2 linked regions of the Oryza sativa Japonica Group genome follow. The protein of the gene in region 1 interacts with the protein of each later gene in a pairwise test. Links are inferred from orthologs where the notes say so. Each region holds a gene or a part of one and is shown in the gene's direction. Other genes may lie near its edges.

The links.
Region 2: the proteins of nuclear cap-binding protein subunit 1 (region 1) and nuclear cap-binding protein subunit 2 interact in binary tests that used the Arabidopsis thaliana proteins (3 or more experiments, as listed by UniProt). The link is inferred for Oryza sativa Japonica Group from reciprocal best matches to the Arabidopsis thaliana genes ABH1 and CBP20.

What each region holds. Positions count from the first base shown.
Region 1 is NC_089037.1:13,041,577-13,044,519, forward strand, and holds the end of nuclear cap-binding protein subunit 1, read left to right. Parts: intron 1-241; coding exon 242-541; intron 542-642; coding exon 643-824; intron 825-1,225; coding exon 1,226-1,337; intron 1,338-1,901; coding exon 1,902-2,021; 3' UTR 2,022-2,417; downstream 2,418-2,943. UniProt on the Arabidopsis thaliana protein: Component of the cap-binding complex (CBC), which binds cotranscriptionally to the 5'-cap of pre-mRNAs and is involved in various processes such as pre-mRNA splicing and RNA-mediated gene silencing (RNAi) by microRNAs (miRNAs).
Region 2 is NC_089036.1:24,583,788-24,587,716, reverse strand, and holds the start of nuclear cap-binding protein subunit 2, read left to right. Parts: upstream 1-1,503; 5' UTR 1,504-1,690; coding exon 1,691-1,708; intron 1,709-1,814; coding exon 1,815-2,038; intron 2,039-3,055; coding exon 3,056-3,194; intron 3,195-3,282; coding exon 3,283-3,316; intron 3,317-3,555; coding exon 3,556-3,654; intron 3,655-3,929.

The sequences.
Region 1 (2,943 bases):
CCTCATCGAATAACCAAACCTATTCTGCATTTAAAACAAACCTATACTGCTTGTGAGTGATGGCGCACTGTAGGAGCTTTCTGCTTTCAGTGCTTTGTGCATGCATGTTTAGTTACTTTTATTGAATGGTGAAATACTCAAGCCATCTAGAACTGCCAAGACAATCCTTCATTAATTTTCTGTATTATAATATAGCTCAATATTTTAATTAAATCTTTCTGATCTACATTCCCTTATGCAGATTCTTAGAAATGCTGTTAGTAAAACATACAATCGGATTTTTGACCTCCGGAAAGAAATTCAGACACTCAGGAAAGGTCTTCAAGCTGCTAAAGAGGCCAGTGAAAAGGCCGCCAGAGAGTTGGAGGAGGCTAAATCTATTATTGAGATTGTAGATGGCCAACCTGTGCCATCTGAAAATCCAGGAAGGCTAAGACGACTTCAAGCGCGTGCTGACAAAGCGAAAGAAGGAGAAGTAACCACTGAAGAATCTTTAGAAGCAAAGGAGGCCCTCCTTGCTCGAGGGCTTGAAGAAAGCAAGGTGCTCCGTTGCTTTTATTATCACCTTAATTTTGTACTGTTGCTTGGTACTTTGCCCCATAATAATAGAGTTGAGCATCCTTTCTTCATGTGGTTTTGCAGGAATTGCTTAGGTTACTATTCAAGAGCTTTGTTGAAGTGCTAACTGAACGTTTGCCACCTATTTCTGCTGATGGAGATGTTCCTAATTTACGTGCTGGAGACCCGAATGTAAATTCTTCAGCCCGTGACCCTGAAGCAACAACCATGGAAATAGACAATGAAAATGGAGGAGATAACGATAGGTCAGTTTATTATTTTGTTTGCAATGCTATTACTAGGATAACTACTTTTACAGGATGGACAACTATTTTTCATGGGCGGTTCATTCTGAAACGAGCTTTTTGTGGAAAGCTTGCATGAACTCTAGTAGACTAGGATTTTGTATTAGTCCTGCATATATCTATAAGAGTAATTTACTCTTAAAATGTAGAAAAAAAATTCAGTAGAGATTGCTAGATACCAGTCAAGACAAACAGGTTCTTGGATGGATTAATATCAGCTGACCATGATTTAATTGCAGTATTCACCTATGTCTTGAAGTGCCAGGAACCCATATTTACTGTTCAGTATAAATATGTTCGTGCCTGCATTAGGGGCTTGGCTGTCATTATTCGGCTGCTAACTTGTCTTCATGCTTTAGCAGTCAGCTGAATGGTCAAAACAAGAAAATCAGTCACAATGTTGGAGAGCTTGAGCAATGGTGTCTCTGCACATTGGGCTATCTCAAGTCGTTTTCTCGTCAATATGCTACTGAGGTGAGGACCTGTGGGGAGTTAGAGTTATCATGCTGTAATATGGATACCTGTTAGATCAAATTCCTTTTTATAAATGATTAGGCCAAACTGGATTTCTCCAGTGTAGTTAAACTATCTGTCTGACAATTTCTGTATACTCTCTTTGATTCCAAATGTAAATCATTTTATACTTGTGCACCGTAGTTAAGAAAAAAGCTCAAATGATTCTGTTACCCTTAATTTACACTGTTCTGGAAAAAAGAATAGTCATTTATTTGTGAGAGGTGTAGTAGTATTTATTTTTTTCAAGGGCAAACATGAAAGAAAAGAAACAAATGGCCTAGAAGTTCCAAACAGCTTACAGTCAGGAGAAAGTTGAGAAGCCTAATGTGTTAGCATTTGAAATATCCAGGCTACGGTGTACTAGAGCCAAATATCACAGGCTGCATGTTAAAATTGTTTTATTATTACAAAAGAACTCAAGGTCTTAGTAAATGACTGATTTTTCTGCAGTACGTTTTAAGTAGTTTTCTTTTCCATGGCCTCCATAGCTTCTACTAATTGGATATTACACATATTTTGCAGATCTGGTCCCATATTGCCATGTTGGATCAGGAGATTTTCGTTGGGAATATTCACCCTCTTATCCGGAAAGCTGCTTTCTCCGGTTTGTGCAGACCTACCAGTGAAGGGTCTCACCTTTGATTTTGACCCTTCCAGTGAGTTGGAGTTTACCTGTATTATACGCGACAAATTTTTCATCATGCTTCACTAACTGGACATGCCCAAAAGTACTCTGATGTGTACTCAGGAACTCCATCGATTCTCCTGTAATCCTGGCCCCGAGGAACACCCTTGGTGGAAAGCACTGTAACGACTTTAGGTGATTAAATTATCAGTTAGGTTTATTTGAATTGTAGTGGACTAATTTTCTTGGGTGAGTAATTGCTATGGTCTAGCTTTCTTAATTCCCTCTGCCTGTGTTAGGACAACGCCGTGTTTATTGATAAGCTGATCTGAAGCCGTCATTACTTTACATGTTGAGCTGTCGCATTGGTGGGTTTGTTACTTGGTCCAAATTCCAATGGAACTTGCTTGCAACACTGGTCCTTGCAACGTCTTCTGAGCTTCTACTGAGCATGCACTGTCAAAGCTGTTTTTTTACCTGCCATGGAGTCTGGAGCTGCCATAACGAAAATCTTGGTAATGCTATGCTTTGTACACTAGCGACTATTTTATCTCTGGGTTAGGGTAGATCGGAAAAAGGATCACGAGCTAGGTCCAAGAGGGGTCTCTTCACGCTTTCCTGTCTTTAATTTGTTGTTTCTATGCAATTGCAAAGAATCATTACGGAGTAAAACGGAAGATTCTGTGCCACAAACAAAACAGCATAGCTACTACAACTGGAATGGGACGTTTACCAACTGAAGCCGAACTATACTTCTTGTTTATCCCTAGGATGCAACGGAATATTTATTCACTAATCAGGTGGATGAAAATTAAGGCGCTTGATTTGAAAAATGACAGATGAATCATCCAGCGAAAAATGGACGGTTTTTTTAGGGTGCCGAAGTCACCAATTAGTGTGTTAAACAAGGGCAACAAAACGAATGTTTCGGATAATGAT
Region 2 (3,929 bases), on another chromosome or scaffold:
ATAGAGTAAAATGCACCGATGGTATCACAACTTACGAGGTGGGTGCAATTTAGTCACTCATCTTGTAAATTGCTCAAACAAGTCACTCATCTTGCTTCGATAGTGCAAATGTTATCAAATACATTTTCACATCGATTGTTTGTTTTCAAATTGGAGTCCATATTAACCTAGCATCATGCATTTTTTACCAATGTAGACAGGATAAGCATTAAAATTACAAATTAACACTTATATTTTTATGTATATACTACTACCCCTACTTTCAATGAACACGGTCATATTGTGCTTGGCAATCAATAACAAAATTCATCATTAATTGAATTTTACTACCGGTAGTATTGCACGTTGGATTATTTATGAATCGTGTGACCATGTTTGCAAAATAAATTAATATAGCATATAACTTCATTGCGAACACTCCATACGACACATGTTTTATATGATTTACACCCCCAAAACAAGATGAGTGATTTGTTTGAGCATTTTACAATATGGGTGACTAAATTACACCCACCTTGCAAGTTATGGTAATAACGGCGCATTTCACTCTAATTTAAACCTACCGCGACCTGGCAGTATAGTTATTTATTTTTTTTCTCTTCAATTAACGTGTATGGTGATTTCGTTTTAGCTATATTTAGATAGATTTTTTTTTCCAAAAAGCATAACCCATGTTGTGACAATGGCCATATCATGTACGTTGCTTTCTTATGGTCTGGCAAAAATTCTGAAGCAATTAGGAGTCAGATTCTCGTCTCGAGTTAGCATGCATAAAAAGCGTGGTTGAATTTCAAAACCAAAATTCAGTTTGGTTTTGAAGTTTCTTATTGCCTAAGAGCAAGTTCAATAGTATAGCCTACTACTAGCTCCAATTTATTTATAGCCGATCTAATAGCCAATTCATACAATAGTTGCGTACTATATTATTAACATATGGTCCTACCTGTCATACACACATTACGTCTTGAAGTCCGTACTGCAGCTGGCTACATATTTGTAGCCCGCTGCTTTTCTCTCTCATCTTTTATCTCATGAAAATATGTTTATAGCTGGCTAATAGCCCGCTATTGTACATGCTCTAAAGACTCCTTTAAAACACATAAATTGAAAAAACACACGACTTAGTAACAAGGATTGTTAATTCTTATAGAAAGACAAAAGGAAATTTTAAAATAGGTGTTGTTGTATCGCAAGAAAAATTGTAAGAAAAAAATTGAAAACATGAGCTATGACAATTCGTTATTTTCATATAAAATCACTTTAGGATTGTTTATTCCATAGAAATTTCAAACAAAACAGTAGAATTCAATATTTTTCCTTTAATAAAGGGTTGTATGATAGGAGATTTTTCTCTATGATTACAATCCTTAAAATTTCTCGTACCAATCCTCCCATTCAAGAGGGCCTAAAATTTAACGGAATTACCCCAAACTTAGAGTAAATCTCGTGAAATCGGAGAAAATTATTCATCTCCTTCCTCCGACTTTCAACTCACATCGCTCCTCCCGTCCTCCCCTACCTGGAGGCTGCAGCTCCTGGCCTCCCGGGCAACTAGGGTTCGGCAAATCCCCCGCAAGGAGGGTGAAACCCTTCCCCAAAACTCCCCAATCCCCACCCGACCTTCTTCGAAATCGGAGGCAAAACCCTAATCGCAAACAGCTCGTCCTCGCGCGGCCGCCGCTCCGCAGCAATGGCGTCCCTCTTCAAGGTACGGATTCCCCCCCCCCCCCTCCGAAACCCTAGCTACCCGAGCTCGTCGATTCCCCCTCCTCTCGCCCTTCCTCTGAGGCGGCTCGCCCGATTCGCTTTTCCAGGACCCGACCAAGCTGTCCGCGTACCGGGACAGGCGGTTCACCGGGACGCAGGAGGAGTACGAGGCGGCGCTGCAGGCGTCGGTGACGGTGTACGTCGGGAACATGTCCTTCTACACCACGGAGGAGCAGGCCTATGAGCTCTTCTCCCGCGCCGGCGAGATCAGGAAGATCATCATGGGACTCGACAAGAACTCCAAGACCCCCTGCGGCTTCTGCTTCATACTGTACCCTCTCCTTTCCTTCCTCAATCCGTTTTTTTTTTAATACAAGAGATGTAGTTTGGTGCTATGTTCAAATTAAAGGTGCTGCTTCTGTTTTATTCTAGTATAAGCGGGTGTCCAAATGTAGTTTGGTGCCTTTTAAGATGTTTTTCTAGTTCTAGTTATGCATTGATTTAACAGTGAAGTATCAATGGTGGTTGTGACTTGTGACAGAGAAGCTAAGGGAGTTTTAGGAGTCTGATGTTGTGTTGGTACTGGCAGGAATGTGTGATTTTCCCTAGAATACGGGCAGCAAAGAATTCTATCTCAGTGCGAATATTTGGCTTGAGCAGTTAGATATTGCTATTGGTTAAGTGAGTAATTTTGTAGTAGTGAGCTCATATGTGGCTCCTTGGAGAGCTGGTTTTGGTCCGCTAGTATGGGCCAATATAGTGCACCAAGTTTCTTGTTTTTTACCCTTTGTTTGGTTACTTTTAATCTGATGTAGTGTTGATTAGTCCGCAATATGGTCCAGATGTGTCTTGGTTGTCGAGGGGGCATGGTTTAAGTTATATTTGGCCAACTGGTGATTTTTGAGAGTCTATTGGGATCTTTTTTATGTATTCAGGCTCTTGTTTTGGTGTTTTGTGTTCGAATTTGGGGTTTTGTATGCTGGTAGTTAGCCATACTTTGTACCTCTAATTCGAAATGTGGCATCATCTTGATCTCTGATCTGTTAAGGTTAGAGTATGTCTTTTTTGTTCATTCAAAAAATATATACCACAGTTCCTTTAACTGGTGTGCGTGTCTTGGATTCCTGGCAGCAAGGCACCCCTTGAATTATCAATCTTCTATTAACCTTACAGTTATGGAAGGGATTATTCTCTGATAGGCATATATTGCTTTATTGTCTTGTGCATCGGGCATGTTGTTAGTTTATATTGGATTTTGGAAGATGTAAAAATGACATTTATCTAGTTTGAGCCAACGGTGTATGTGCTGTTAGCCTACATATCGTTATAATACCTTCCTTCCTTTCAGGTACTACTCCAGGGAGGATGCTGAAGATGCGGTCAAATATATTAGTGGAACAATGCTTGATGATCGCCCAATTCGTGTTGATTTTGATTGGGGCTTTGAAGAAGGCAGACAATGGGGTCGTGGACGGAGTGGTGGACAAGTATTACCATGATCTTATTCTGCATGAATAACAAATGTATGACATTTGACCATATTTTTGATGATAGTTCATGTTTCTTTTTTCATAGGTAAGGGATGAGTACCGCACGGACTACGATCCTGATATCCTTTGGTACTATTGAATTACCATTTATTACATTTAGAGCGGGGTTATGCTGGTAACTCAGAAACCCATCCGTGTTAGTTCATACTGATGAAAATGTTACCTGTAGATCCATCCTAAATATGGCAATTCAACTATCTGCTGATTGTTTCTTAATAGCGCTCCTTTAAATTTTGTATGCCTTTACATGCTGCTATGTTTTTTCTGTTGAGTTGGCTACTTCCTTAATGAATCTTACGAAGAGGTGGCTATGGTAAGATGGTTCAGAAAGAGCTAGAAGCACAACGTGAGTTAGTTGACTATGGAGGTGCTTTTCAACCTAATGCACCACCTCAATGTAAGTGCTGAAAGTTTTGAGGACTGTACCTTAAGCCTTTAACTACATCCTTGTATAATTTTCATTTGTGTTAACCTTATTAACTGCAGTAATTGCTTTGTTAGAGATTTGCATGTGTGGCCTCTTGATATATTTTTCAATTGGAAGTATTTTATGGTGAAACAATTTGCTTTATAACTGGTCCGATCATATTTACATGAAGTTAGCATTCATGCATAATGTAGCCTTTTTTTATTCTAGTAAAGCATAATTAGACATTACCTTTTTCTCTGGTG